Kluyveromyces lactis: one gene and its partner. The protein of the gene in region 1 purifies or fractionates together with the protein of each later gene. This does not show direct contact. Links are inferred from orthologs where the notes say so. Each region holds a gene or a part of one and is shown in the gene's direction. Other genes may lie near its edges.

Region 1 (17,165 bases):
TTCTTTGTCCACTTCACCCTGTATCATTTTGTTCTCCACGTATTCAACAACTTTACCCCTAACTATAGCACCAATTCTTCGTTCCAATCCACGAACACCCGGTTCCCTCGTGTACTCTAAGACAACACAGTTCCATGCCTCATCTGTCAAGTAAATTTTAGGTAGCTCTTTAATGGCATCAAGACCATTCGCTTTTATCTGTTTAGGCAAGAGAAATTTGGAGCCAATCATAATTTTTTCATCTGGAGTATATCCAGGAAGCTCAATTAGCTCCATACGGTTCAAAAGAGGTTCGCTGATGCCTTCGAGATCATTTGCAGTACAGAAAAACAAAACTTGTGAAAGATCAACAGGAAATCCTACATAATGATCCGAGAAGGTAGAGTTCTGTTCAGGGTCTAATACTTCCAATAGTGCGGCGCCGGGATCCCCATTAACTCTGTTACCAAATCCACCAACCCCTCCACTCAATACTTTATCTACTTCATCTAAAAGAATTAAGGGATTCATTGTACCCGCTTTTCTTAAAGCACCAATGATCAAACCACACATCGAACCCACATATGTTCTCCTATGACCCCTAATTTCTGCTTCGTTATGTATACCACCGAGAGATATTCTTTGGAATTTTCGACCTAAAACATCAGCAACGCTCTTAGCAATAGATGTTTTACCCACACCAGGAGGACCGACCAACAAAAGGATAGGCGGCTTATTGATAGAAGCCCTGTCTTTCTTAGGATGAAGGTCGGTATTAAGGTTTGGATCATTGGTAGAAATCTCGGATATCTTTAAGACACTGAGATATTCTACTAGCCTGCGCTTAACACTTTGCAATCCATAGTGATCCTCATTTAATTTTGCTCTACTTTTTGCCAAATCTATAGTTGAGATATTGACAGTTTTTCCAAACGGAATGTCCATCACAATGTCAAAATAGTTTCTTAGAACTTGGTAATCGGCATTCTGAGGAGTCATCTTCATGAACCGTTTGAAGTCCTTTTGTAACAGTTTGATACCGTCAGGATGAACATTTTTTTCCTCCAAGGAGTCGATAAAAGACTTAATTTGTTCCATTTCGTCATTTGAATCAGAATCTTCATCGTGACTCGAACTGGTTTTCAAAAACTTGTTTGGGGATGTGACGTCTGTACGTTCTTTTTCGGAATTTGCCTTCAGTATAACGCTGGAGTTATTCCTTTTAATATCATCGATATAAAACCTTAAAGCTCTCAATTGATTTGCAATTAACTTGGACTTGTCATTATTCGAAGAATTGGAGAAGTGATTATTTACATAATCCACGCTATCATCAAGCTTTTTGAAAATTTGTTGGAAGTCTTGGACGCATGTGGAGAATAAAATTGCCCTTGATTTGAGTTTCTTCGCAGTGAGAAAGTCTAAGCGTTGTTTCAATGACATAGGTAGTATACTCATTACCAAGTCCATCATTGAAACTAATTCAAAGCAGGTGTCATAATTCCTTTCAAGCACAGTGAGTTGCTCTAGATAAGCCTTCAATAATTTCCAAGACTTGTTAAAGTGAGACCCATTTAACTGCATGAAAAGAGTGTTCGCTAAGGGAGAAAGATATAAGACCCTAGAATCTATATCACCTGATCTCTTGGATGCTAATGAGTATTTTGATTTGAAGTCTTTGATTATTTTGTCTGTGTCGTAAAATATCTTCACGAAACTCAAAATGCTTTTGTTAATGCTTTTATGATCCCAGGTCCGTAGTTCTGAGCGATCGTCAATTTCTAGGATGCTGGATTTCCATAAACTATGTTGCATATTCAATAGAGGTTGTTTGTTTTCAACTCTTGCGACTGATTTGAACGTAATTGTAATGGTGTCATCTTCCACCTGAATTGCAGTTATTCTTGAAGCAGCTCCAACAGAGTTATTCACGGCTTCAAAGGGTAAAAGAACTATGTACATCTGAACTTCTGCGTCATTATTGCTATTATCAGAGCCGTACTTCTTATGGAACTGTTTGCATGAATTCACAACTGAATTATCGACTACTATTTCGTTCTGAGCAATAGCCGTGTTGATTTTGTCCAATAGATGATTATTCTTGAATGAATTATTTCGTTTGAACTCAGATAGCACATGTATAATAGAATCTCTCTCAAATGAAACCTTGTACGATACACCAGGTAGTGGGACAAGCTTAGGTGCGTCAACAAGTGTAAAGCAAGGCAAATACAAGTTTGAGCCCGGGGAATCAAAAAATAACCCCATGATTTAAATCTTAGCAAGTAGAATAAAAGATATAGCTATATTGTAGTAACAGTGTTTGTGAGATATGCAAAGTATATCGGCAACTCTACCTCGATAGTAATCTGTATTGGATAGCAACTTCAAAGTGCATAATCCGATAGTCATGGACTAAATGAGGGAAGTAACAATTAGTATATCTCATATTAATCATTTCACATTGGAATTTGACAGATCATATTACCCGCACTATCAGCAGTCACAACTATGATAACCACGTGATACTATTTTCTTTGTATCAATCCGGTGGGTTGTCAGAAGGAAACTTCCTTACACAATAGAAACTGCGTTGTTTTAGTATAGAAAACAGAACATACATAAAGGCTATTAGGCTACTCAGCGTTTTTTCACGGTTATTATTGTCCTTTTCTTTCTGAGTAACTTTGTTTTGTTAATCAACCTACAATTAACCTTCAATAGAAGGCAACAAAGAACTGGTGTTAGTACCGAGTTTTCTGTAACTGGAAACTGGCGTCAGTGCTACTTCATTGGCAGTCTGCATCCACTGCCTGTAAAGCATTGACGATTTCGAAGAAGAATCAATGTTGACTGTTTGGATCTTTGCAAAGTTTAAGACTTCCTGATAATCGGTGTCTTTGAATTCCTCTAGATGTTCAATAGAGTATTTTATCAAAGATTTCAAGAACTGCTTGTAAAGCATCTTGCCTAAATAATATGGCCCCAGAAGTATGGTGTAACAACATTGTTTTGCCATATGGGAACCCTCTCTAACCTTCTCATTATCAATTTTCTTTTTGAAATGAACAAGAGCTGCTTTTTGACGCATAATATCCCCAGCAGTGTATATTGGGTATCTGTCAATAAAGTTCTGCATTTTGATGTAACTCTTTACTAACTTCATCATGATAACTCCTCTAGCATTTTGTTGAATATTGGTGTTGTTATCAACAGCAACCTCAGAAACTGGTTCTCCTGTCCAATCACCTTTCAATTTTCTTTTTGTAACTTGCTGAGAGGCATATTCCTGACCGTCAATAGATAGATATTCTTCTGGTGTTGTTTCTGGAATATTTTTCTTGTCAATTACAGACCCAATAGCATTGGTGCTGTTAAATTGGCCATTGGATTCGGCTTCATCTTTTGACTCTGAGATAGATTGCGACAAAAAATCATTCATAAGTTTCAACTCTACTGAATTTTTTTTGTCATTTGGCATTTTTTCAGACTTAACAGATGTTTCACAGGAAGAAGAGGCACAATTACTTTCAGACATCACCTTCTCGATAATGCTTTCAAGCTCCTTTGAAAAGCTATCAGATGATTCTGATATCTCACTAAAATTTATAGGACAATCATAGGCGTCAAGTTTGTAAAATGGAGTTGGTAACCGGCTTAAACTCTGAGAAGGTAAAGGCTCAAAGATATTCTTTTTTGTCTTCTGCATACCAGTAATATGGGCAAACATGGTCGTTGGTGACCTCCCATTTATTGTTTTGGGGTGTAATAATGCAGACACATGTGCCTTTTTATACTTTTGGCCTTTGGATTGAGATCAAGTTTTGAAACTGACGTTTCCAACAGTTTCTAGATCCAAATAACATCAACAATCAGCCATATTGCGAAATAAATTTCATTAACGCAGAGTTCACTGTATAACTTGTTTATTACTTATCATCAATCTAGATTCTAGCACTGAGTTCCAGATAGTACGTTTTGTCACTAGCACATGTCTTCTGAGGGTTGGTTGGTTTTGGAAATTAACAAGTAGCAAGTGAAAAAATAGAAAGGGTGAATATATACTTAACTAGAGCAGCTGCACTGGGTCATCAACAAATCTTCATCCTCAGTGACATTCGTCCATTTTTTCTCTAGTTCGGGTAAAAAAGAACTATCCCAAGCTGATTTATCATATGGGTTGGTTGCCATCAATATTAATTTCTGAAGAGGGCCATTGTCCAATTTTGCATCCGGGTCGTTGAGTTCATTACGCTGCTCATCGGTGTAATGGTTTGCAACACTTTCAAGTATATAGTTTCTGGGGATGAATAACGGATTGAATTGTTTCGCTATTTTGACTCTTTCTGGGTAGTCTGAAATTAATTGTTTATAGTCCTTTGACCAGTTTGATAGGACTTCTGCTTCTTCAATTAGCTTTCTCGTCTCTCCGGAGTCGTCTTGTTCTTGCCCAATGTAATAATCATTGATCTTCTTGGTTTGTTCTTCATTAAAGAAAACTCTGTAAAGACCATCATCTACTCCATTAATTCCTCCTTCATCTAGGAAATTACCATCGTAATTCTGTAAAGCCAAAAAGAAGCTATTGTAATCAACACCAGATACCGTCAAGATTCTCAAAATAGGTTCGATGATGTCCGTAGTAAAAGCAGTCACTTTTTCAGCGACAGATTTTAAATTATCGTCCGTTAAGGTAGCAGGAATATTCAAATCATAACCTAATCTTTTTGCCATCAAATCTGCATATTTTGTTGTGAACCTGAATTCATATTCTAAACCAGTTAGATTAATTATTGCTGTAGCCCTTTTGGATATCTTCTCAATTTCTGGATCTTTCCACTCTCCTCGATTAGTCGTTGGAAGTTTATCAATTAAACTTGGACCTACACCTAAGGGTATAACAAGAGCTTCGGCAAGCTTGATTAAATTCCACCATATAACAGTGGGTTGGTTGGCAAAAGAATAACGCAAATTATAATCGTCGTGGTTTGGGGTATATTGTGGTTGGAACTTGTCCATGAATCCAAATGGACCAAAGTCAATAGAAAGACCTAGAATTGAAGTGTTGTCTGTATTCAAGACACCGTTACAGAACCCATATGCTTGCCAGTATGCCACACACTCTGCATTCAACGTGACTATGTGTCTGAATAATTTATCGTAATTTGTCAAACCATCATCGACCTTTGACGAACGTAGCTCTTTGTTGTTCACAGTATCAGACGTTCCTTCGAAATAATTTGCACTGAAGCTGTTTAATGCAACAGTGTCTCTGTAGTCTTTCAATCCTTCGAAAACATGATTGATTGAAAAGTCTGCTAATTTCAAGAGACCCTCATCATCCTGTTTCCATCTAAACAAATCAAAATTACCGATTCTTATCCAACTTGGTGCAAATCTCGTTATCACAGCGCAAGGCTCAAAAACAGATCTTCTTGCTCTAGTCTTCGGTAGCGATGAGATTTGCAATGCCCTAGAAGACGGAATACCAATGGCGTGCAAACTCTCACATATGAGAAACTCTCTAATACTTGATCTGACTACAGCTTTCCCGTCAGCAAATCTTGAATATGGAGTTAATCCACTCCCTTTTAACTGGACGGTTTGCAGTTTAGATTCCTTATCCTTGATATCGAAAAGGTTGAGAACTCTTCCGTCCCCCAATTGTCCTGCAAACTCACCGAATTGAAACCCGGCATAAGCGAGACTATAAGGAAAAATTTCTCTCGATTCATCGATGTACACGTCTGACCCCTGGCAAATGTTTATTAATGACGAATCACTTTTCAACTGTAAATCTTCCAATGCCTTTTTACTGTGAGCCATGAACTTATAATGAGGACGTTCCTCCGGAACACCGAAAGAAAAGTGAGGAACACCATTGTTCTCGGTTGTCACTGGTCTCGGAGTATGAAACACCAGTTTTTGCCTTTTCAATGATTCTTCATCTTTATTCTGGTATAATTCCTTGGCTGCGCCGACTGACTGCAAGTACCTTTCCGGCTCCATATGCTTAACAACCCTGGAAGTTCCACATTCTTTTAGTACCTGCATAATATTCCTAAAGTCAGCCATTGTGTGAATGATATTATATGTGGATAGGAGCAGCTGATTCCATCCAACATAACCAATATCGGGATTTGATAAAATTAGGGGATTTCAAGATGAGATCCCTCTTCTGAAGTTAAAGGTGGTTCTTATATACCGGTTTTTTTCTGAATAATAAATCTACAGTGAAGGTTGCTATTATATAAGCAAAACAAAGGTGAAGAAGACAAACATTGAAGAGACAAGCACCACAATTGTTTGCATTCCAATCTTACAATTTGAATTGCAGTATTGCAAATTAGGAATTGAGATATACAGACAGTAAGTAACGTAATAACAGCAATTTCATGTCAAAATGCGACGGTCAGTACTACCCTAACTCAATACGCGACGGAAGTTACCGTTTTCCCATTTTCATTACCCGGACTTGAAAATCTCCCACCAAAATCTCTTGAAAGTAAACATCAACAACAAACACAATAAACACATAAACAAATCGTATAATCGATTCATCGTTTCGATGGGAAAAAGGTTGAATTGAAAGAGGAAAAAATTGATTGATTAGTATAGCAGGCAGTTTGGTGTGCTATATTATACCTCTGATCAATATGAGTAAGGAGGAGGATAGCAGTGCTGCTGATAGCAGTTTCAATGACTCTATCTTGAAAGACGATTTTGATCTTTCGACATTGAAGATCGCACAATTGAAAACTGTGTTAACTAGCAATGAGATCGGGTTCAAAGCACATGATAAGAAGGCTTCTTTGGTAAAACTCGTTGAGGATAATTTGGGCAGTATTAGAAAGAATTTAGAGAAAGATGGAGGTCTCAGTCCGCTTGTTATTCCCAGTGTTAAGGTTACGAAGAAAAAGCGCGAAAGCAAAAAAAGGAAATCAACTACTCCAGAATCCCTGGAGAAATCTTTGACCAAGGCAAAGGCTATTAAGAAATCAACCATCAAGGAGGAAAATGAGGCAAAAGATGGTGAGAGGCCTGTTTCAAAGAAGAGAAAGAAAAGGACAAAGGATGAGGATGGTCAGCGCAGTGATACCGAAGATACCAAACCTGTGAAAAAGACTCGTAAAACGAAAAAGAAGGTCAAATCGGAAGAGATTGGGTCCCCGATTGCAAAAAAAATTACCACGAAATCACCTATCAAATCACCTCACAGATCATTGATTATAGACAAATTTGAATCGTCAGATGATGCATCAGATGAGACTGGTAAAGACGATAGCTTCATAAACTTTTCCATCAAGAAAACAGCAAAACCAAAGAAATCTGAATTTCCAGAAGCAAATAGCATATTGTCGGATATCCCAAACGAGCAATCATTAAAGACTAGAGCCGAATTCCCATCAGTGACAGATTCGTCCTTGAACCCATCTACTAGTGAGTCCACACCAATCAAGAAAAAGGTTGAGGATTCCAAACCAGCCAAAACCTTGCAAAAAGTAGAACAAGAGTCAGTCAAGAAAGAACTGCCGGAAGTTCCAGCGACTGAACTGCCAACTTTAAGAGAAGTAAAAAAATTGCAGGAACAAGTGAACCAATCTATTATTACTGAAACCGGGGAAGAGAGCGATACCACTATTACAAAAGCAGAAACTTTTGCCAAGGATGAAGAAAGCGAGGAAGAGGTCCCAAAATCTGCAACCGAAGAGCAGTCAGAAAATTTGTTAGAGGATGAAAACGAAGTTGATGGGGGTGATGAGGGTGAGCGTACAATTGTTAAGGATCCTACCTCAATAATTGAGGCCGCTAAGAATAAAACAGACGAAATACCTACTCAAGAAACTAACATCTCTTCGATAATTAGAAAAGGATTGATATCAACTGGGCGCTTCTTACTGAAAGTCATTTCGTTTTTATTAATACTGTTGCCGATTTTGTTTGCGTTGTGGTATCGTGAACAAAGAATCGCTGTTGGCTTCTGTGCTTCTGAGGTTGACATTCCAACTCTTGGTAGAGAATATTCTAATCCATATATCAACGAATTCGAAAACCAATTAGAACGTTTCAAACCACATTGTATCCCATGTCCAAGCGATGCCATATGTTACCCTTATTTGGAGATCAAATGTAAGCCGGGATACATTGTCGAAGAATCTCCATTATCTCTTCATGGGTTGATTCCTGTTCATGCTAAGTGTGTGAAGGACTCCAGAAAGCAGAAGCTTGTACAAGAAGTTGTCAAAAAGACGCTTGAACTCTTAAGAACTAAAAACGCCCAAGAATCTTGTGGTGAAGATGAAGATGACTATAAGAGCGGAATTAGTAATGCAGAGCTTTACGAAATTTTCTATGAGTCCAAAAAGCCATGGATCAATGACGAAGAGTTCGACGCATTGTGGCAACAAGTCGAGGTTGACTTGAAAGAGGAACCTGAGATTATTTGGAGGCAAGTGAGTATATGTTTAAGATCAACCTCGTGATAAATAAACTCGAAGTATTGGAGCCGCGGCGAAGAATTGACGAATATGTATATGCATATCGCGGTAGCGTCCTTCTGTGATTTATTTATATTACCAGAGATTGACAATAATACAAACAATAATATGTTTTACTAACAACCTTTTCGTTCATAATAATGAGCATCCCAATTTTTTCTGTTTACAGTTACCAACAAGATCAGGAAACAATACTATTTCAGGAGACTCCAACGACATTGATACATCCAACTGGGACGTTGAAATTGAAAGACCGGAGGGACATTTTCAAGAAACAGAATTCCAGCAGGGGTATTTTCGATCTACGTCTAAGAAGTACATCGGTTTGAAATGCCAATTTGAAAGGCAAGTTCACACAACTTGGAAAAGATATCAAAGAATCATTCTGACCGTTGTATCTTTACTAGTAATAGTCCAACTTTTGAAAAGGTACATTTCTAAAAAGCTACAAGAAAGAGAAAGAATAGAAAAGATTTCACAACAAGTGATCAAGAGGTTGCAACAAGCGATTATCCTGCAAAAACAACCGAGATACATGTCATCTGTGCAATTGAGAGATTTGATCTTAAATGATATGAACGATTTGAACGAGAAGAACAGGCTTTGGGCTCTGACTACCAAGAAATTAGATGGTAATACCAATGTGAAGTCGACATTGATGGAAATCCACGGGGAGATCATGAAATGTTGGGAGTGGATTGGTGTATTGCCATTCGAGAACGAATCTGACGAAGGTTCCACAAAAAACAAGAACAACGAAAATGATCAAAAATCACAGGAGTAGTAGTGATAAGAATAGTAAATTAAGATTCTTCTCATTGCGACCTGGGACTGTTCACAGAGACAGTATAGACTTTATGTGTATGCATATAATATATATGAACTATGTACACTAAATTGAATTGTATAACTACATATTTTGTAATTCTCACTTATCTTAGTATACACCGATCAACGACAGAGAAAATTATCACGTGACATATGGCACTGGACGTTTAGGGATTTTGCAAACAACGACATCTCCATTAATCCTAACAAAGCCATCGCATGTAGTCATAAGTCCTGACTCACTACATTGCCGATATTTCCATTAGTCCCGGGGGTGCTGAAATTGAATCCCCATTCTCCAGCGAACAAAAAAGTGGAGATTCACCTCTTTTCCTCCATAATTTATCCAAATACCTCCGATTTTACCCCAGTTTTTTTTTTACAAGAAATCGCTCATTCTAAGTAGACACAGAAATGCATTTCTTCTCCAGGTTTTCTTCAGGAGTTAACATAGAATTCAGACAATAAACCTTGATCCCGGAAAAACATTACAAGGAAGGCCGTAGAAAATGTTTTCTACGGTGTCTTTACCAGTTACTTCCCTGTTTTCCTCTATCAGGTTTGCCACAAAAGCTGAAAAATGAACGCGGTGCAATAGGTGCAGTGTGGGTGTTCAGTTTGAGCAGCCTATTTTTTGTTGATGTGGTTTTTTACAAGCTCTAAGGGTGCTTACATAATGCTACGTACTAAACTTCTCTCTCTATCCCAAGGCCTTCCAGTGAAAGTAGGTGCTTTATTCGATGACTGAAGAGATTCGGTTTGCCTTTAGTCTGAGAAATACTGAATGGTTAAAGTCAGTTCGGGATGCGGAGCTAGATACGTGAAAGTCTATGTTTCTCCGTCTGGCATTGAAAGACTGGGCTCAAGCCTATGAGGGCCAGCATCACTCTTCTGTTTCCAACGCAACCCTCTTCACTGATCTCTTTGGCGTCGCGTAATTGATAGAATTCCTTGCAAGGGTGGGGGGAGGGGGAGAGGAATTTATTGAACGGAATCCCGGTAAAGCTCCTTGAATAGTTCTGATAGGTTTTTTCTGCCGCATCGCTTCAACTATGATGTATGACGACTGTTATCCATTTTTTTTGGAGCGACATACATATATATAAAGGTAGGAAGCGAGAAAGGATATTTTGCGTTGATGGCAATCCTTTCCGTATCTATGTTTATATTCATTGTAGTGTTTTTATATTATGTAGATATGAAGTATAAACCCCAGGAATTTCTTAAGCAGAAGTCAAGATATCCCTGAAAACTTACAAAGGAGTTAATGAGAGCTAGTCCGGTTGCATTACAAGTGTTTAGATCACCAACGGCTAAAGTATTTAAGTCTGGCCTTCTTGGATTTTCAATCGGTTGTCTAAGTGCTGGTCTGTTGACGTTAGGATTGATCGATATTGAGGAAAGACAGCGGAAATGGAATGATGACATACTTGACATGAATCGTTCCATTCGAAGATTGGAAGCTCACGTCAAGTCTTTAGAACAGAGCAAGAATATTTGATTGTTAAACCCCACCTCATTTTACGCTAGATGCACTCATAACTGCACGCCGTTTACTATGCATGCTGGATTTCATAGTTAATGAGCAATGTCCCTTTCTTTTCTTGAGCACAGAGTCGTTTTCTCTGACAAGCATTGGGAACCTTCATTCCACAAACGTATTTACTTATCTTAGCGCTGGTTGTTGTTCGCTGACTCGTATTTTAACCTAAATAAATAAACCAATGATAATATTCATCCTTTTAAAATCATTCATAAGCAGGTTCACTAAATAATGAAGTTAAATAACATTTACTGCTGTAGTATTTATCAGTACATATTATAGTCAAAAATCTCATGCCAATCCAAAACCTTCGTGACCCTCGTTAATCGCTAATAACAAAGAACCACGCAATTGTTCGTATGAATCGTATGCAGGTAAATCCAGTTGGTTGAAACATGTGTGAGATGATGGTAATCTCTCCGTGGAGCCGTAATCTCTATGAATTGAAAACTTCGAGTCACCGTTTATACCGCTCAAATCCTTGAATCCATTCAATGGTAATTTTGATGTGCCGGTAACGAATTGCAACAATTTTGCCCTTTCTTCTTTATCGAAAGATCTCACCGCTCTCCAGAAATAGTTTATCTGTTTACAAGTTGGTGTATAGTTCACGTAGGTTGTGTTGTTCTTCCAATCATCGACATCGATGTCAGGTAACCCACTAATCAATAGCTCTAATTCTTGCTCATCAAAAATTGAAATCAAATCTTTATCAATGACAGCATAGAAACCTTGCAAAAGGTTTTGCATATGGTCCTTCACTGATTCTTGTAGCTTGTACTCTACAATTTTTTGAACATATTCCTTCTTATTCTCTTCAGTAACGGGAATATTTCGGCCATTTGGTATCAAATCAATAGTTTTGTGCTCTCCATAATCATCAGTATCGACGGAAAATGTTTCGTCGATTACGTATGTAATGTCATTTTCAAGCATCCAGTTGAGAGACTTGTAGTATTCCAAATCCAAGGATTCCATGTCTTTCAAGGAAACAGGTTTACCAAGGATATTTTTGTAAACTTCTCTGCTAAAATGACAATCTAAGAAGCAGTTATCACTTATTGCTTTACCAATTATCATACCCACGAATTTGAAAAATGATAAATGTTCAGGATTAATACCCGATGTTCTATTCGGACGGAACTTGGTATTATCCGTACCCACTGGAATAAACAATGCGTAATCAGGGTTGAACATTTGTCTAGAAAGAACTTGGTACCATTCTCTTGTTACACCACCTTCATCAACACCAGCTTCTCCCTTGAAAGTAATATCCAATTTACAATTTTTTATCTCATCATTAGATTTGAAGAAAAGTGCTCTGTATGAATCAAGGAATACCTGATCACGAAGAACAGTTATGGAAAGCTTCTGGCGAGTTGTAGTATTTTGTCTCAATTTTGCCATGAAGAAGTGTCTTTTATTATCAAAGTCCAAGATCTTAGGATTCTTGACCAAAAGTTGGAAGGGGCCGCTCATAAGTTGTGGAGTGGCTCTAATCATTTCATTCAATAGCTTTTTGTGCAGATCAGTAAACTCAAAGAAAAGGTCTTCGACAGGTATGGTCTCAAAATCGTACGACTTTTCAGTGTATTTCAATTGACCAGCAGCAACTTCTCTAACCTTACTGTTTTTACACACAACCATCAATGACTCAATAGTCGGTAGTAAAATGGTAGCGGACGTAGACACAGGTGATTTTTCTTCAAAGGCGCTTAGACATTTGCTTAACGCAACCCAGACAGCACCGAGTTTCATTTCGTTAAACAATGCAACTAACTTGCGTGAACTTTCGGTATCTCCTTCCTTTTGATGAGAATAGATATAATCAACAGCAGTTACAACCTTTAATAACTTGGACTGCTCAGAGCTGGGAGCAGTGAATTTTTGAATGATTTCTGAGTTGATTTCTGTTCCGCTCTTCACATTAGGCAATTGCAAACACAATTCATTCAAATCTGCTATCAACTGGGAAATCGTAGACATTGCCAACGTTCTCAACTCCGAAGTGAAGATCTCCTGAGTATCCTTTATGGAGAAAAGGTTGGTCATTAGGTTCAAGGTCTGCTTGAAAATTTTCGTATTGCACGAATCCAATTTGATCACTGAAACGATTAGTTCCAAATGCTTCTTCTCAATCACAGGAATCTCAAAATTTCTTTTGGAGTTGCTTGCATTCTTCTTTTTAACCAACGACGTAATAGGTTTGGAACATGACTCCAAAATATCCGTTAACAGATCCATTAAAACAGTCTCGTCAGTCACCAATTTCTGGTTAAATAAGGAGAACAAAGCGTTGATTGGCCACTTCATGTTTTTCGAAAAAATGTCCTTTTTGGTCTTGACGTATGGTTTGTTAATGATGAGGTTATCATGTTCTGTGACGAAAAAGTATCTCAATCGAGCATCAGAATCAATCATAAACTGGAGTACCTCAATACATTGATTCGCAACAATGAGTGGGGTGCAATCTGGTGGTAACTGGTATACAATATTTTTGTGATCGGAGGAAGAGTTAGCCTTATTAGAAATCAAGTTGAAGACCTTCTCCAAGGAAAATTGGTCAGCTATCCCCTCAGTTAAGATTAGCAATAAAAAGTTCATTATATCGCTGCGGTTTTGCTTACTGGAGCAAAGTTTGAAGAAAAGCTCGTGATAGGATTCGCGAGAAAGATATGGCTGAGGAATGAAAAGACTTTTGATAATTGTAGCTATGCCGGAACGATCAACTAACGGATCGAAGTGGACGCGTTTTGATTTTGGTTGAGTATTTCCCTGCACCGATTGGTCACTATCCAGGTCATGATCATCTCTACTCAGATCACCGTCAAATTCATCAACTCTTCTATTGGATAAAAGGTGGGAAAATCTTCTGGTAACATTTTCGCCAGCAATAATTTCTTCACGAATATTGGCTGGCACTGAATCCAAGAACTCGTCGTTTATCTCTCTTGAGTTTATATTTTGCTGTTGAGCTTCTGCTCTGCGCTCGCTAATGTGCTGTGCTAGCACTTCCGCTCGCATGTCCTCTGGTAAAGCATTAATAAATTCAGGATCAATATCTGTCCCTCCGATATCCACTTCATTGCCATCAATGATGACATAAACTGGTTCATGATTATCAGTAGCTACCTCAGACTCATTGTCAGATTCATGCACAACATCTGATACCTCTCTACTGGATGCATTTTCAGCCTCATCTTCTGCCATTGCCATTTCATCGAGATTTCTTTTCCTAGTGCGGTCTGCTACTGAATTTTCTTCCATTTTTTGTGCCTTGTATTCGAGTTGACGTTGGCACCACAATTCAGAACTTCTTTTAATCACCCTTGATACAATCTCTGGTAAAATATTCCCCAAAAATCCTTTATTCTCATAAAACATTTCGAATATATCACCCCACCTTTCAGTGGTCTTTTTGACAATTATACCTTCGACTGATTTATTATCCATTAATGATTCCGCTAGCCAGAATCCTGTGATTCCAGATCCAAATCTACGCGCTGGAGTATCTTCAAGTTGATTGTTGGTAATAATATCCTCGACTTCTTCCATGCCATGGGGACCTAGGGGGTTAGTCAGCATGTTTCTGCTCCGATCAGATTCGCCTCCTAATGATATGATAGAAGGTGCGATTGCTGTTCGGTTGTGATGACGGCCACGACGATTGCTTGACATTGACCGGTGATCAATTCGGAAAATTAATTCATCATTGGTGACATGCTGCACGCCTCTATATATGCCTCTACCTTCACCATCAGAATCATCATACAATTCTACACCATCGGATGTAACCCATGTATTGTTGCCAACATTTCTTGCTCTTGAAGGATTGTAGCTGTCTTCTTCTTGCTGGGAGTCGTCACTATTATAGTCAGTGTCGTCAAGCTCAGAAAGGCCAGACTCCCAGTCTGATGATAGTTCGCTATCATCCAAGTCAATTTCTAGGTCAGATCCATAAGCGGGTTCATCAATTTCAACAAACATTGGGGAACTTTCTGAGTAGTAGCTATCATGTTCGGATGCGTCCTCTTCGTTATCGTTGACAGACATACTTTCATCACTTGAGTTATACGCCATGTGTACATCCATATCTTCATCACCGCTGCTTTCTTCAGCCCCATCAGAACTGGAGTCATCCGACTCGCTACTATCAGACTCTGAAATGGAATCTTGTTCATCCTCTTCATCGCTGAAAACAATCTCTATATCGTCATTATCCTGAACAAAAGCGACATCTTCGTCTCCAATCAAAGAGTCGTCGTCCTCATCATCTTCGATGTCTTCGATGTCATACATACCCAATGCAGAATTTCTAAACATATCCGGAACATCGTCTTTGTCGGATTCTTCATCAACATCATCTTCTTCTTCATTATTCTCAAGCTTAAAGAAATCTGAGTAGTCATTTCTAATTTCTGTAATAGAGTTTAATGGATCAACCGCTGCATTAAAAACCTTCTTGGAAAATGGTACATTTAAATCTAACGTTGAAAGACACTCGGTAATAGTCTCAGGTATTCTTAATTCAAGCATCAGTTTGCATATTTCATACCTATCGGCATTTAACTTCTTGCCATCTAATAAGTGATTTACCCAGTTGTCCGTAACCAATAATCTGTGAATTAAGTTAAACCAACCATGATACTTTCCGACATTACTTTCCAAGAACTTTGTTGAGTTAAGATCTTTCATTGCCTTAGATATAGATTCCAAAGTAAACTTTCTGATAAAGGTCATATCGGGATTTGGTGCCTTTGGGTCAGGTTTGTCAACTCGTTCATCTTGAACAGAACTCACAAAACAGGTAAGAACACACGTCGCTAGTTTTCCTATCGTTTCTCTACGTTTAGCAGCATATACGTCTCCATCTTGGGTTTTATAGTCCAAAAGTTGGTGAATGAAAAAGTTTAAAGCAGTAGTACGAGGTGCTGGTGATTCACTATAAATTCCCCGCTTGTTAAAAGTCATAAACTCATACTTAGAATGATTGTAGCTGGACAAAAGTTCCATCAAAACTTTCAAAAGGAATATCATGTATGCACAGATTGGGTTTTTGGAAGCCTTTACTTCTAATCTTTGCTTCTTTTTAGACTTTTTTTCGTCTTCCTTTGGTGTTGCTGGTTCCGTTAGCCAATCTTTTTTGTAGGCAGCCATCAACTGCGAGAGTAAAAGATCTACAATGGATGTTCTTTTATTGAATATTACATCAGCTGATGGAACTATGTCTATTCTTTCATTATTTTCCTCTGGAACTCGCTTCATTAAAAATGAGCTCAATTCGTGGCTTGAAGAAAAATCAACCATTCTGCCAGTTTTACATAGCTCAGTGACAAAGATTTCTGGATCACGCATTATAATATTGGCTTTTTCAGCAATAAGCAATGTTAAATCTCTAGATTTTTCTTTCATATCCCCTATTGCTCTGGTAGTGAATGCACGATTGAGTTCGTACTTTATTAACGATGTAACCACTTCTTTGGTTTCAAAGCATCTTCTGCATAGCAATAATAAAGATGATTCCAAATAGTTAATTTTATCTGACTTTTGATGAGCACCGATTACCTTCAACAGCTTAGGAATTATACCGGACTGAACAATTTCCCTAGCGTACTTTTCATTTGCAGCATAGAGTATTAAAATACGAGAAATGGCCAAAGAAGAGTAGAAATCAGATATTTCAGGAACTCTTATTAACACATTGAAAATGGTCTCTTTATCTTTAGAGGATAGATGTTGCACATCTACGGTCGGTATTTCTGGCATTTTGAAATCCGTTGGCACCTCTTCATAGTCAGGGAACATGGATCTTGATAAGATAATTTCGTACGCATATAATGCTTTGAAGAACCAAGGGTGATTGACATACTGGGGTGCCAAATTTTCCAGAAGAAAAGTTATAAACTTGTGAATAACTGTTTTTGACTGATTGTAAATCTTTTCCTCATTCAAAAATATACCAAATAGATGAACAATTGGTGCGAGTTGGCTAGCCTTTTCTATCTTAGTTGAGTTCATTATTGATAACAAATCTTCTAACATGCTAACATGTGGAAATTCAAGTTCATCATATATTTCTAAAAACATTTTTGAAACCGCATTGATGAGTTTCGGATAGTTTTGCACTATACTTAGCACTTTTTGCTCAAAACCATTTCGGTAGAAACTTGCTCTGAATTCGCATAAATCTCCTTTGGTGCTGTAGTTCTCATAGGGTGGAGGTAATAGTTGGAGATCTGTCTTCCATTCTCCACTGGCTCTTGCAGCCTTGTACTTTTCCCACTCATTTTCACTAAAAACGTCTGGTTTCACGAGCA
Region 2 (16,654 bases), on another chromosome or scaffold:
GGCTCTTACGTGCAAATGTGAAGCGCTACTTTTGGACCCGCTAAAGCCTTTGATTTTGGAAAAATAAAAAAAAAGGTAAGATGCTTTAGCCATATATATATGTATATATATTGAGCATTAAAGTGATTTACAGGTATGTATGGTGTTGAAATACGGAATTGGCGTATGTTTTTTGTGTAAGCTCTGCTACTGTACGTATTTTTTTGTTATCCCATAATCAGACATCAAACGGCTGCGATATTTTTGTTGTACTTCCTAAGATATCAGTACTAATATAATATTCTATGGTTTATATTATTCACTTGGGTAACGAATTCTAATAGCATTTACGATTGGAAAAATAAAGAAAAGGAAAATATGGACGTTTTATCTCACTCGAGCGTCAACGGTTCCGATCATGTACAAATGATCCAACTGCCACCAATTTCATCTTTTGATTCTTTGATCAGAGCTGCTTCGGTAACAGATAACAATAGTATAACGTCTTCAAATTCGAATTTTAACGCAGGTACGCCGAGTCCAGGTGTGACGAATGGCCAAGTTCAGTTCACTGTGGGGTCTGGTACCGTAAACATTGCACCACGTACTTCTCGAACGTCGGTACCGAATAGCTTGATGGCTTCTACGTTGGTAAGCGTGAGTCCCCGTGCCAGTGCAAGTGTAAATGCAGCTTATACGAATGCCAACACTCCTAGCACTCATCACAACGGTAATTATAATGCTGACCACGCGGAAAGTTTTAGTAGCAGTGTCAGTTTTAATGATAATAACAATAATAATATTCAACACAATCAACATCACCATCATAATCTGCAGCAGCAACTGCAGCAGCATCAACGTCATCCACAGCAAATACAACGTCAAGAGTCAAACAACCACTCTGTCCCTGTAGTCGTCTCTTCCGGTAAAACGTTTACAGATTCTTTGATGTCCTACCAATTCGGAAGCACAGGCAGCTCCGGATCAAGCCCTAACGGTCAACAATACCGTCCATCTTCATATTTCCAATCATCATTGTCGAATGGTAACGGTTCTCATACACAATCCCCCTTTGCTGGTAACCCTGTTTCGCAACCACATCATCAGATAATCCCCAAACTTAATTCAGGTATTTCAAATATGAATTCATTAATGGATCAACAAACGTCACCTACTAGCGATAATAATAATAGTAATGTGCATCACCAGCAGCTACATACACACTACGGTCAAGGCCACGGTAGCTCTTGTAACCATACACACTCACATTCCCAAGGTAGCTTGCATCATATGATTTCTCCGATATCAACAACTAACAATCATGCGACAAGCCCAACAAATTCAATTGCAACGGTTTTATCACCAACTACATCGACACCCTCGTCTACGGTGTCGAGTACATCAAAACTCTCATCGTTATCCACATCAAGTGATCTAAATACACATCTTATGGATAACTCGAAATCGGCTAAGATGAAGATCGAAAATAATGCAAACATGGTTTCCAAAAAACAACCAAGAAAGAAGAAGCAATGTCCTTTATGTGGTCTCTTTTTCTCTAATTTATCAACACATAAGTCAACCCACCTGTCACCCGAGACACGGCCTTTCAAATGTGAGGTTTGTTCTCGTGGATTTGCCAGATCCAATGATTTGATAAGACATAAAAAATTGCATTGGAAAGATGACTTAAACCAAGAATCTATGGATTTTGTTGAGAAGTTAAAGTGCTTGCATGAATTAAAAGGAACCTATAAATGCCCTTTTAACTCTAACTTGATTAACTTAGATCTAAAATTAAAGGGCTCTGACATGAAAACCGCAGATTTGCCATTCGAGACTTCAAATTGCCATTCAACTGGGGTTTTCTCACGTTGCGACACTTTCAAAAACCATTTGAAAGCTTTGCATTTTGAATACCCACCAGGAACAAAGAAAAAAGATAGAGCGAACGTTGCAGGCCATTGCAAACACTGTGGTCAGAAATTTGAAAGTATTGAAACGTGGTTAAAAGATCATGTTGGCAAAGAATGTGGCTATAACTACACTGGCTGAGAACGGATATCCAGGGTAATGTGCTGGCACAAAAACGATCTATGGAGTGAGGAACGAACAAACATAACTAAAACAATATGAAACGAATTATACCCGGGAATATGTATACCTCTATTTCCTTACCCAAACATACGACACATAAACGCACGGATTGTGAATACGGTACTTGTAGCACTACATGAACCGAACTGTCCATATATATGTATTTATATAAAGTTATATATTAATGAGAAACGAGATTTTTTAATAATTACTTCAATTTACTGAGGTTGGCACTAAAATAATTAGCGAATGAAAGAAATAAAACTGTTTATGAGGCAAGTGTCTTTCATTCAATTGAATGTCGGAAGAGGGTACTAGCTTTATGATAACGTTTTAGATGTTATATTCTTTTATGATTAGCAAATCAATCCTTAAGTTCCATAGTATCCATCATGTAAACATTTAACGCTTAAAAACTTTTATATTTATGATATATTTATATATAAGAAGAGAGAAGGAGAAAAAATAGAGACAATGTAAATGCCTTTTCAATTTTGTGATCGGAGGTCACAATTATGATTATCTGTCTCTTCGCATCCGACGTCTGATCAGTAAAATATTCTTATTATGTGCCTGTGAATGTTGTAACTGTTTTTCTTTCTCTCTTGGTTAATATGCGTAATTCAAAATCATGAGAAGGTTCAAAAGACGATGAGAGTTATAGTTCGTAAAATAATGTAGTAAGTTGTTAACATATTAATATATCATGTGGTGATGATAAGTGTGGACTATGGAAAGTAGGAAAGAAGGTGAGAAAGTATAAATGGAAATAAATAGGAGAATTGGTCATGAATTGATGGAAACTAAAGAAACCAAGTTAATTGTTAGCTAGTTCAGTTCTTCTTCTTACCAGTTCCGACACCAACGTTGTTCACGTTTCTGAACATGTAAACACCCTTGGAGTCAGCATCGTCAACGTATTGGCAAGTTCTTGCACTCTTCCATAGTGATACCCACATATTCTCATCGTTAAAACGGTAATGTTCACCCATAACCTTCTTGATAGCTTCTGAAGCAGGTCTAGCGTTGTAGAATGGAATTCTGGAACAGTAGTGGTGCAGAACATGTGTTTCGATAATGTCGTGGAAGATATGAGGGCCAATGAATCCGAATTGTCTATCAATAGTGGCAGCTGCACCTTTAGCGAAGGACCATTGGTCAGCCTCGTAATGTGGCATAGAGGCATCTGTGTGTTGCAAGTACGTGATGAACACTAACCAATGGTTAACCCAAATGTATGGAACAAACCAGTTAATGAAAACAGACCAGCCGCCAAATTTATCATACCATATCTTCAACACCAACGATTGTGTCAGAATACCCAAATCTGATAGCAGAATGTAAATGTAGTCTTTATCGTCGAACACAGGAGAACTTGGCCAGAAATGGTTCCATTTCCATTTTGGTACGTCTGGATAAGGCTGACCAGTGACATTGGTTAGCAAATAGTAGATCCAACCACCCAATTGTTGAGTAAGTAATTCTATCAAAGTTCTAATTGGAGAGTCTTCAGAGAATTCATCGATGTCAGCAAGAATACCACGAGACTTGACGAAATCTTCTTTTGTCTTTGGTACGAAAACCATATCTCTAGTAATATGGCCGGTAGCCTTATGATGCTTAGAGTGGGTATATTTCCATGAAAAGTATGGCACTAACAAGTAAGAGTGCAAAACCCAACCCACAAAATCGTTGACAGCACCATAATCAGAAAAGGCTTGATGACCACATTCGTGTGCTAACACCCATAGACCAGTACCGAAAAGACCTTGAACGTAGCCATAAAATGCCCAATACACAAACCTTGCAGCAACGTGTAGATCTTTGACGTATGGATAAGCAAAGACATTGGCAAAGTAACCGATACCGGCCATGATAGCGATATCACGGAACACATAGTATAACGAGACAGCTAACTTTCTATTATAGCATTCTGGAGGAATGGCACTTAAAATGTCCTTGATGGTATAATCCGGCACTTTGAACACATTACCATGTGTGTCTATAGCGACTTTGCAAGACTCGGTAGTAGTTTCAGCATCGGTTACGTACTGAGACTGAGACATTGTTTTGATTGGAAAATGTCCACAAGTAATCTAAAAGCGGGCCCAGTTAAAATCAGGAATATAAATTCAATACCAAAAGGTACACCGGGTGATACAGTCTAGATTAAGCTCTGAATTTATGCAGCAGAACCCCTTTTCACAGCCGAAACAGATATCAAGAGATTAGCCTGATGATATGTCCCTTTTAAATAGAACTAGATTGCTCAAATCTATCACTATATATATGTAAATATTCTATAACTCAAAAACTCAAAAAGACCAAAATTGGGACAATCTTAATATTTAAAATTTAAACTGCCTTTGGTTTTATATATTGGAAATGAAATTACGGTAAAGATTTGAATTAATGTATTTAGACAATACGCCGCAGCAGCGTTAACGAGAAAAAAAAGTAAGAAATATATATTTCGAAAAGTAACGGAGTGCACTACATTGATCTCCCTGCCAGCGCGCGTCAAGAAAGGGTCCACATTGGAAGTTACTGATGCCGTTGATATCCAAGGGCCTGGACTTAACAGGGCATGAGGATGGATTTATCACTCCGTTGCTGATACCAATCGTAACACAATCTTGCTTATTCACTATATACTACAAATAAATACTAAGAACGAATATCCAATTGGACAAAAAAGCACCTATAAACGATTGTATTGGCTACGCTTAACGGTTTAATGTTTCAATTCTTTTTTTTTACGAATTGTACTGTGGTGAAATCAGCGAGGGACACTGATTCTTTATGAAACCAAATCCAACCAAAAGGAAAATGCGTCAAAGGCTAGTAGGGAGAGAAAAAAAAAAAAAACAAAACAGACACCAATGTCTGATATCTTGCCATCGATTGACAATTGAGCTTCTACAATAACACTGGATACTCCCGGATCTCTCATCAAGGGTGAGAGAATGTACAGTTGATCGATTGAAGGTGTAACATTGCCAACAAAACTCTGTAGCAAATCACGCGATCAACTTACATATCCAATAGGATACCTCAAAAAACAGTCCGTAATCTCCTTGATGACAGAGAAGCTTACACACGCTTCTCTTTAGTGCAAAGTGACAATGACTACCCCCTTTCTGTTTCTCTGTAACTCATCGCATCTCATCTCATCTCGTCTCATCTCATATAGTATGGGGACCTGTTGTTTTTCTTTTTTTTTTTTGTTGGGAAAAACAAGATCGAGGATCGGAAATTTCTTTTTCTAAAAAAACTAACGAATTTCTTTTCGGGTTCAGGTGAATAGGCACAATTGATTTGGCAAATCTGGCGCAGATGTTAAATGTTATCCGGGTAATGAAGAACGTCACGTGGTTTGCCACATTTCATTCTTTTTGCACTTGTTTACCGGTATAGAAACAGAGTGGATATCAGAAACGTCGTAGAAATAAAGAGGAAACACATAGTGAAGGGACGATGGCCGGGTAGTGTAATTGCCAGTTGAAAAAATCGTACTTAGCTCCAGTCAAATGAGGGAAAGGCCTTAGATTCAACCTTCGACAGGCAGAATATGGTAAAGATGTCCAAAGAAAAAGGTTCAATATCATCACTTATCCAAGTCACCAGAATATACAGGTAACTTCCCATTATGTCAGACAAAGATGGAACCGCTAGTGGGCTTAAGGAAACGCCAGATTTCATAAAGAAACCTTTGTCTCATGACGAATTTTTTGTTAAGCTTGAAAAAGCTTTCAGAATGTCCAAGGTATCGCACAATCAGCTCAAAGTAAGCTTGAAAAGAGACTTGGGCAGTCATCACGTTCAAAAACCTAATGAATTGGATGTTACTTCCAATCCTACTGGTGATATCTCAAAGATGTCAGAATCCAAACGTTTAAAACAAAACGCTCAACCAGATACAAAACCATACAGACTTATCGTGCTAGTGAGCATGCCATATGATGGGAAACGAACGAAATTCTTCACTTTGGTAGATTCAAAGACTCTTGATAAATTTTGGAAGGATTATGTTAATGTTGTAAAAACAAGTATGTCTGGATTAATTAAAAAGAAGAAGAAGAAGAAGGGTGGTAAGAAAAACTGATGAAATATTCCCAACCTATTATCACCCATGAATCATAAATCCGCAATCGTGTAGCATTATAAAGTACATGTTATATATACATATATAGATGTCAAACTGCAAACCAGTAATTTGGTTTTCATTCGAACTCCACGACAATTGTTCCCGATGGATAAATTGTCCGTTCTTCCTTGATCACTGTGGTTGGCTCCAAACGGGTTCTGGGCACAGGTGAATATAGTTGAAAGTCATACTGATACTCGTAATTTGGTTTTTCTTGTGTAATATCATTCTCGCTGCTAGTGTCAGATAATAAACCTGCTCTGTATAATGCAACGTATGCGTAAATCTCCTCAATTGTTAATGAAGCATCAAATCTTCTAATAATTCTTTCATTTTCTAGTCTGATGCTTACTCTGCAACCGTCACCCGATGGTTCTGGCACTAGTACAGATTTTCTCCAAGCCAACCATTTCTTTTTAAGTTGGCTTTCCTCGATTACCCTATCCCTTTCCTGGTCCCTTTCTAGCGATTCTTGGTATCTCGAATCTTGTTGTTCTCTTAATAACCGTTGCATTTCCTGGTACTGTCTTTGCCTTCTAATCTCAACTAATACTGAATAATATGAGGCTAATTTGGCCTCAAAATGAGAGAAATCATAATCAAATAGTTGGCCCTCCACTCTGGCAAGCAATTTCATTTTATTATTCCGTTGGGGTCCAAGGGCACCTAAAAATGGAAACTGTCTAATCTTTAAAGAATTAGCAGTCTGTAGCCCTTGTGGTGTTGTAACATCGCAAAACCATACAACGCAATTATATTTGGTGACACATTCTACAAACTCGTTGGAAGTTAAAATCTTTCTTACGTACTCGAATGGATCGTATAGTATCGGATTGAAGAAAGATATTATTGCAAATTTACCATCGCTGGAACACCGACGTAAGATATCAGTGTAACCACCCTTAATCATATTTTTGCTCAACATTCCATTCTCTACATTGTACAACGTATCGAATGTATAACCACTCTGTTCGTTGGTATCGGCTGATGAAGAAAGGACATCTATAACATTTACGAATTGGTTACCCAAATCATCGCTGAAATGATTGTCTTTTCTTGTGTAGAAATGAAAGATCTTGCCTATTGGTTTGAAAACTTCCACCGAAGTTAACAGGATATTGAGCAAGTAATATAGTAATGTTAGTGGAATGTATAAGCACATTTTTAATATTCTAGGAACGCCAGCATTCAGTATTGTTTCCTGTTCAGGTTGTTCTGTATTATCATTGTCTTCAGGGAATGATCCTGGGAGAGGGGTAAAACTCACTGCAGGTTGGTTCTGCTGAGACGGCCTACTGAAAATGTTGAATACCATGTTCAACAGTTGCAGATTCGTTTCTATAGAAGAGTACAGCCTCTAATATAGGTGAAGCTTTCTCTTCTTCTACTGAAGATTTACCCTATGGATACCATTGACAACTTTTAAAGGATGTCTGATATTGTTTTTTAAATGTCAAATTTAATGGACAGACAATGATAGATCATCGTGAGTGGAAATTCACAAAGAAAAGCGCCACGGCTAAATAGTACAACTAAGGCATTTAATAGTTAGAGTATAATTCCCGATGATTGCTACTCTCAATTTTATTATATTCCGAAAGTTATTTTCTTCACCTATGGAGTCATGTTAATTTAGGTATCATAATGAGTATATAGTTTTATAGTATTACACATGCCATCAGAGTTAATCGTGAATTCATTACACTTTCATTGACAGATTAGACATGGATGGTTCTCCGCGTCTATTAATGAAATTGTTAACGTCAAGGATAGCCAGTCCGAATATGGGATGAATAGGCTCAACTTCCGGTTCTGGCACAAGTGGAGTTGCAACAAAATCGAAGGGTGAATTGTTTCGGACCATAAAAGAATGTTCGCAAATTGATAAACCAGCCAACACATAATTGGTATGATAAAAGTCCGCTTGTGTTCCCGGTTTATCTCTTAGGCCAGGGCTTTCTTCCGATTGACAGCATTTCAATATATATTGTTTTAGGGCGTCTTTATCTATGCATACTCCATACCCGTATGCTTCTAAGATTGCAGCAGTTCCGCCAACCCAAAAACTGTAGCAACCATCTGTAAGTTTATTGCTTCTTCCGTTTAAACCTTTCTCCTCTTTAGTTTGACGAGAACTACACCATGACAATAACGCATCGATATTGACCTTATCTAAGGCATTCAACATTGCCAAGCTGGCTACTGCACAAAAAGTGTAGCCACCATGTGCTTCATCATTTGGGCAGCCTCCGAAACCACCCTCGTAAGATTGGCATCTTGTCAAGAATTCCGTCACATTACTTGTTAGTTTAGAGTCCACAATGCCTAGTAGTGACGCTATAGATAATGCAGTGTATACGCCTCTCACATCTTGTTCGCCGACTGGGCGTGCAGTCATGAACGCGCCGCTAGGTGTTTTAAGAGAAATGAGCCAGTCGTATATAGCCTTTTTATTGATTTCTCTGTTATCATCGAGATTGTGACATAGAGCGATGGAATTTATAGCAGCGTATGTGGCCGCTAGATGTGGTAGTTGATGCTTTCCGCCGCTGAAGGGACCACCTGTAGGTGATATATACCATAGCTTGTCCAAAATACGCTTCTGATAATCGTTCGTAAGCCAAGTGGGATTCATTGTTTTGAAGGCATTGCCAATCCAGTACAACAGCCATGGCTGAGAGGCATCGAGTGATTTGAATCCCGAAGGTAATGGATTATTTAACCAATATTCAAGGAACATCTTATGAGAATCCTTCTGCAAATGGTTGAATTTCTCTGGAGCCTTTTCATAAAGCTCCAGACATTCATTTATTAACTCTTCCCTTTCCACCAAGGTTTCAGTAATCAGCCCTGTATTTGAAGTTCTAATTTCCATCACTTCTTCCTCATCTACCACTTCTTGCTCTATTGTTTCTCGTTTCCTTCCAAGCACATTGGTTCGAAGATAACTCATCTTTTTGATAGCCCTGGTAGCACTATTTATAGCCATTGGCCTTTGTCCAGATCTTTGCTTTCCTGTTCTCGCCCTCTTTGATGCTTCTGAAACTGGCAATTTACTATTACGAAACCTCAATCTTTATTCAAATAACATTTACGGTAGATATTTATAACTGAGAAATGAGTTTAATGCATCGATAACCTCAAAAACTGAGAATAAGGCTAAATGACTAATTGACTGATGCCCAGAGGAGCGCAAGCTATGCTGGAAAAGCAAGCAGACTCTGTGTGGAACCAGCTGTATGAGATATGCTGGAACTTCTACGTGAAGAACGTTTGGGATATTAACACATTTAAAGCGATAGTGGACAAAATAGAGAAAAGTGATGACAAACAGCTAATACGGTTTTTGATTTGGTTTAATGATGCTCGTAAAAGATCTAATTTCAATGACAAGTTCCAATGGATGACGTCTTTTTTGTATGGTAGGCGTTATCCGCCATTGGGCGATGATCTAGTGGTCAAAGAACCCTGGAATGATTTGCAACAATTAGACAGTATTATAAAGTACGGGAATGAACCAATTGACTTGGTCAAAATGCAGCCAGATTTTACTACGGAGGAACGTATTGTACAGAATAGGCGGGTCAACAACTGTTCTTTAATATGTAGTTTGACCAATGCTAGAGAGGAAAATCAGATAAAGAGTTATAGCGTCCATAACGTTTTCAACGTGATTCTTCATTTCAATGGGTCAAATCGACTAGTGTCAGTATTACGAGATTCAAATTTTCCAAAATGCTCTAAAGACGGGGCTGCCTTGACTCTCTTCTCCCATAATATAGAAGATATGTTGATTGAGCTTGCATATTTCGAAATCAAGAATAATCGGAACTACGCGTATGGGGGATCCAATACAGCTACTGATACTTATTTGCTCACAGGATGGATACCAGAGATTCTCAACCTAGGAGACGTATCATTTAGTGAAATACGTAAATGTTACCAATTCAATGCCATGCTTGCTTTAGGAACAGATTCAGTGAAGGGAAAAGAGGTAACAGAAAATCATGATTTTGTTGTGACTTCTGTCAATTGGAAGAAGGAACAATTTACCATCCTAAATCCTCACGGTACTGAAAACCCCACTGTGTATACTTGGGACGACCTAATAAAAGAATTCAAATGGTTATATGTAAATTGGGATCCATATTCAAAGTACACTCAACGTGTAAAACTACATGATCGATATCCAGATAAATTTAATGCATATCCTACCTGGACTCAAAAACCTTTGATGTGCATTGAGAACAAATCAAACAGCATTCAAAATTGTCATCTTTATCTAGAAAGACACCTACTAGATGATTCTATTCTCGAATCCAACCTGACAATTGGTGAAATTCCAAGGTCTGGGTTTACAGCTGTCTCAGCGGAGGGGAATAATAGTGGATTCTGTAATATGCAACTGCGGCTAAACCCCCATGAAACACGTCTAATCTTTTATCATTCAGACAAAAAGTGCAATTTGACTTTCCATTTACTATCTAATTCTGGTTTGGTTTCAATGTCAAAATGTAAATCAGATATATTAACTGCTGAGTCTAGCTGGAATATCACAAATAATCAGTGGACTATTGGTACTTCTGAATATTTCAAAAGTCCTGTTTTCAAACTAAAAAGTGATGGTTTCGATGATACTTATCTAGATTTTGAGCTAGTCTCGCAGTTACCAGCGAAGGTGAATTTTCAAATATTTGAGTCCGATGATTATGCCCTACAACGTCCGATCTTTAAGAATGACACATACTCCCCACAAATTTTTTCCAAGCATGGAGTAAGGTTATTAAAAGGGAGAGAATACTTTATAGTATGCTCCATCGCTCATCATATTACCTCTCCGTTCATATTTACGCTGCGAAACCCTGAAACAAAGCAGTCAAAATTTGAACTATCTCCATATTCGTTAGGATTTGGGGGATTAAGATATAATGAGGTTTTGCGGTGCAAAACGAGAATCACAATATCAGTTTCAAATTTCACGCGGTTATTTGTTCTGCTGTTCACGTCAGCTTCGAAAACAAATGGAAGACTCACGTTACGTTTGTACGAGAAAGAAACAGAGGAAATCCTCTTTGAACAAATAGAAACAAGGTATGATCTTAGTGTTAAACCATTCCCGATACCGAATATTGAACTTAAGCCAGCATCGTACGTGTTAGAAATATTCTACAATGCAGATGTTGTGATCTGTAATCTCGGAACTTCTCACCGAGCTATATTCGAATCGGATCTATAATTTCAACAAGTACGTTGTGGAGGTTTCCACCCACAAGCATATCCATCACATTGCATCACGTGATTTGTATTTATGTTTGCTCAAAAGGTAAACAAAAACGATTTATAAGATAAATAATGAAATTTGTAACAATTAAGGTCATAACGATCTTTGTCAAGCCGTTTACCGTTGATACTAATGCAAAAGCGCGGAAACAAAGCAAATAAATAATGGCATTTTGGCGAAATAGACATGAATCACCAGCCATTTCACAAGAAAGAAGCCCCAGTCCTGACAGGTTCCAAAATAGTGAAGATATAAGGGAAGATAATAATAATTATAATGAGGATGAAAAATTAGGATGGTTTGCTTCGTTCATGGGAATGTTTTCATTACCTTACGACTGGTACTTATCTATCAACGAAGATATAGCTGTGATTGACTGGGATAGTAAGTCAAACTCGGTAGCATGGCCTTTAGGAAATGTTCTAACCTTCCTTTTCTTCTCCGTACGATTATTGCAGGACAATGTGATAGCCCCAAACATCAATAAGCTAACTCATTCTGATGATGCATTTGACTTTTCAAAATCTAAGAATCTTCAGAAATATGATTATTTTCAGCAGTATGGAGGTTCCGCTTCTTCAAGCGAAAATTTATACTACAAAATGTTAAGACAATTGCACCGCCTGTTTTATCTGCTGACGGTGTTGTTATTAATCACTAATATTTCGGTAACTTATAGATATCTTTTCGCGCATTTCCAGACCTACTCGATTTTTTATTGGAAAACTGTTCCGAAGTCGAAGAATGTAACCAAAAAATCACTTCATGATTTGAACCATACCTACGTCGAAGACGCCAAAAGAGACTCTTTATGGGGGATGATTAAGTATCTCTTGTTCAATGGGTCTCACGATGATGAGACAAATAGAGCCCATTATTATGAATTACGAAAATGGACACCAAGCAGGTTTCTTACATCTTTTTTTGTCTCATTTTCTCCAATTGCATTCTGTTTCTTGTGGATGACAGATGTTACTTTCAAAACTCTTATTCCAATCATTATTCACCAATATGTTTTATGGTTTATTGTTATTGATCGATACGAGCAGAAATTGAAGGATGAGCAGATTTTGAGCATGTCCAGTGTGGCTGAATTAAATTCAAAAGTTATTCAACCTAAAATGAATGTCTTGAAGCAAGATGCGATGGTTGACGCAACACCTTATAACGATGGAATAGTTTACTTCTATCCGGCTTACACCACTACAAGGTCGCACGTCTTTGCAACCCACACTTTGAGTGGGAAACTTAGTAAAGAAAAGTATAATCCTCGCACAGATTCATTCGAGGATGCCAATTCACAGCGTACGGAAAACTACGTAAGGTTCTCGTACCATCACCCTAAGTCAATAAATGGTGCTTATGTACGAGAATCGTATCCTAGCAGACAGCATAGTCCGCGTTTGAGCCCTTCTCGCTATTCTCATCTTCAAAGTGGTAATACACCTTCCGCTCCCTCCACGCCACTTCTAATACCATCTCAACAACCTCATTTCGATCATTCCATGTTGGCCAATGCATCTAGAAATCATAATATAAGTGAGAGAAGAAACTCTCATAGTCCTATTAAACAACACTTTGCAAATAGGTTACTAAACTATCCGGATGAAACAAATGATAGCATACCCGATGTGTCTGATGACAGATTCAGAATGGATGATCGTTTCAGAAGAGGCAGACAAGGCTATTTCAATCGATCTCCCGACATCAATTCTGGTACGTTACATTACGATGATGGTGATGATGATGATAACCGTATATCAAAGTCTCCCTTTCGGAATTCATCGTCTTCACCATTTCGGTAGTTATTCACTCAAATACTCACATTCATTGAAGTTTGGTGCACTGGAATTTCTTGAGGTATCCGTAAATTATATAAACATAATACATCTCTAATTACTAAAGACAATGAGACTATAGGTCGTTCCACCCGAATAACCAATTGTTGACCCTTCCAATTAAATTTGTTGGTTGTTGGTTATTCCCATGCTGTTCCTGTTCTCGTAACTTGTTCTCCAAATTTCTTAAAAAGTTTGGACCACCATGAGGAGGGTTTGCATTATGCACAAACAACTGCTTTCCATCTTTGACATCCAATTTCCGAGTAGAAAAGGTGAACCCATGTTTATTATTATCAGCACTTTCTTGTGTCCCATTTTGTATATCAGATGATTCAGGTCCGTTTGGTTTCATCGATAAACTGAACGGGATTTCTCCGATGTCATCAGTTTTATCGATTTTGCACGAAGCCAATTGTTCTACGGCTGTTTTGCTATAAGGAACGCAGCCAATTAAACAACCTCCATAAACGGTACCATTCTCTTGTAGAGCTCTCAGAGCGGCACTAGGGGAGTCATACGTGATTTTAATCCATCCATCGCCCGTGAAGATAGGATATTTCTTATGAGGAATTTTAGAGTCCTTATTTTGAGCACGAATTCTAATAGTAGCACTGGATATGTTGTTACCTGTAACACCTCTTAGAACCTCAAGGTCCTCTAAAATATTTCCGAATTTTGAGAAATGTAATATTATTTGGTTTGAAATGGATTCTGGATATCCAAATACAATTACTGCGCTCTCTTGCGATTTTTGTCTTGATATATCATTTGTTTGATCCGCTGTCGGTTTTACAGGGGATTTCGACGCATCTCTGTCGAATGCGTTTCTTGTGCTCTTAGTGTATTCTTGAGTCAAAGGTATTTGGTTAGACGAAGGCATTGCGTTCACGTTAGTGGGGACAGACCCGAACTCATCCTCTCGTTGCCAATCATATAACGATTTTGTTGGGGGAGCTTCATTCGATTCCACATAAGTCGCGATATCAGTAGGTTGTGCAGGCTGCGTAGAGCTGAATGTTGGCTTCTTTGTGCCAAACTGGACGCTATTGAATCCGGATCTTTGGGAAGAGTTGTCATTCGAAGATCCATCTCCAGATGAGCTCGGTTTAGACGATCTTTTTATCACGGATTGTGGAATGTTTCTCTTTCTAGCTATATTATACCAGTTTTCTTCCTTTCCATTCGTGGCAGAGCTCTGTACTAGTGATTGTGAACTATTCTGCTGTTGTTGGTTTTGCTGCTGCTGCTGAGGATAATTTATTTGCAAGTTTGCAAACCTGTTCTCTTGTTGCGCTTGTTGGCCAAATACTGAACTCATGATTTAGGATTGTCAGTTCGCTTTCTCAACAATGTTTCAACAGTCAAAAATGATCAATTTATCCTACTTGAAATTGAAGAACACACCAAACCACAGTGTTACCGGTGCATATGAACATGCTACGATGATAACAGCTATTCTCATCTAATCTTATTCTTGATGTTTATTAGTTGAAATTGTTTTATTTCAATTAGAATACTCAAATCCGGGTAATGTTTGCCATTATGAACAGCTTCAGTGTATGTGTAAATTTATACATTCACGATCGATAAGATTTACCTCTATATACTGCTTTTTGATGTCTCCTTGTTTGCGGGAGATATGTGTGAAGATCTGTCCCTTGTTCGTGCAATCTCTTTTTTACCATGTCAAGTTCTTTACGCATAGTTACGTATCCTAGATGGAGTTTGCCCATGAAATGGTCAGCGAGTCTTCTATCCGTGTCTAATCTTGAAAGGTAGGCTCCACATACACGGCATACCTGTAGCTTCTGTTGTGCACTTTGGCCTGTGTTTTCGTTCATTTGCCTGCATTTTTCGCTGAGTGTGTCCCTTTCTGTTTGCAGTTTGTTATATTTACAGCTTTGAATCATCGCCTTCATAACTTCTTCGTTTTGTATAAGCATATCGATTTCTGAAAGCATTAAAGCACATTTGGATTCAAGCTGATTCACTGCTTGTAGAAGTGCTGCTAATTTCGAATGTTCCTCATGATGCTGTAACTTTTTATGTGCCATTTCAATTTGAACATCACAATCACTAAGAATCTTCTTCAAGATGGAGTAATGCTCAAGGTCAAACTCAGGATATTTCTTGCCCTTCTTTACATCTCTTTCATATTGCATTTTATGCGAGACTGAATGTATACGTGGACAATGCCCCATGGGCTGCTTGGTCTCTTGGAAAAGGTCATAGGGGCAATGACCAATGATAAATGATTTGCACGTTGATGGTGAAGTTAGCCCATGCGATGTGGCAGCCGAAGACATAAGCTGAGAAATCAGCTTGCGCTGTTCTAAAATTGCAGACATTTCTCACTTACAAATATCTCTGATGGAAGTAACACCAAACTGTTGCGTGCAGTTTGGACTCTGTGATTAACTTTTTCTGCTCTGTTGGTCAGTTCAACAATGATACTTCTTCAGTACGCCTTTTCAAGTAGCTTGTTGAAAATGCCAGGTTTAAATTCTGACGACAAAATATACTGAAAATAAATATATAATAACACAAGCAAAACATGACACAAATGGCAGTTTAGGTTTTCTAAACATGATCATTCCTATCTTAGGTGATCCTTTTGAAATAATTTGTAGTACAATTAGAACATGCAAGCTAGAAACAATGGAGCCTGTATTTTCTGCTTTAGTTATTGGAGGTAATGGTAATGACAGCGCAATTAGAATTTGTCGAGAATTGATATTCAAATATGGCATTAAAGTTATCAATGCAGATTATTGGGATGCCAGGGATGATATTCTATATGGATTGGAAGAATATTATAGAAGTGACGATGTAAGATCCGATAAGTGGATTCTTACATTTGATTCTCATATCAACTTGATCAATGACAGAAAAAAAAACTACGAGTTCGTGAACATTAATACCCAGAACTGGAAACCGATTCTTTCTGGCGTGAACGTAGTTATCAATTTGACTCAGTACTATGAACCTACCATTGGTGGCTTGCTTTCCACACCAATTCAAGAGGTAGACCCATTGATAGATTTATGGTGTCACATGATCGAGATAATGGAAACGGTAAGGTTGACGACCCATTGCACCATTGCGTATTTGATCAATAAGGATACTAGCTTCAACAGAGGTTGGGGAATTTTTGCCAACAGTACGATACAATTATTGGATGGAAAGCTTTCCGTGTGTCAAGAGGATTACGACGTGTATTTCTCACCAAAAGAACTATTTCAACAGTTCGAAAATGGAACTTATGCTGATATAATGAGATGAGAGAAATCTAGTATTCCAGAGAAGATT

What was found.
Region 2: the proteins of KLLA0_B01826g (region 1) and NUR1 purify together in Saccharomyces cerevisiae (affinity purification with mass spectrometry; 3 studies listed by BioGRID, with this or other methods). This does not show direct contact. The link is inferred for Kluyveromyces lactis from reciprocal best matches to the Saccharomyces cerevisiae genes SRC1 and NUR1.

The regions. Positions count from the first base shown.
Region 1 is NC_006038.1:147,926-165,090, reverse strand, and holds KLLA0_B01826g (uncharacterized protein), read left to right. Parts: upstream 1-6,635; coding exon 6,636-8,432; intron 8,433-8,646; coding exon 8,647-9,261; downstream 9,262-17,165. Other genes in the region: KLLA0_B01892g (uncharacterized protein), read right to left, coding at 1-2,247; KLLA0_B01870g (uncharacterized protein), read right to left, coding at 2,690-3,709; FMP40 (Fmp40p), read right to left, coding at 4,045-6,054; E3 ubiquitin-protein ligase TOM1, read right to left, coding at 11,140-17,165. UniProt on the Saccharomyces cerevisiae protein: Plays a role in sister chromatid separation.
Region 2 is NC_006042.1:674,864-691,517, forward strand, and holds NUR1 (Nur1p), read left to right. Parts: upstream 1-11,668; coding exon 11,669-13,309; downstream 13,310-16,654. Other genes in the region: KLLA0_F07073g (uncharacterized protein), read left to right, coding at 358-2,034; KLLA0_F07095g (uncharacterized protein), read right to left, coding at 2,910-4,142; RNA-binding signal recognition particle subunit SRP14, read left to right, coding at 5,726-6,181; clathrin-mediated endocytosis regulator UBX3, read right to left, coding at 6,300-7,538; RAM1 (protein farnesyltransferase), read right to left, coding at 7,923-9,212; RIM13 (Rim13p), read left to right, coding at 9,402-11,459; FG-nucleoporin ASM4, read right to left, coding at 13,419-14,663; LUC7 (Luc7p), read right to left, coding at 14,923-15,693; KLLA0_F07271g (uncharacterized protein), read left to right, coding at 15,932-16,627. UniProt on the Saccharomyces cerevisiae protein: Member of a perinuclear network that controls recombination at multiple loci to maintain genome stability. Required for rDNA repeat stability.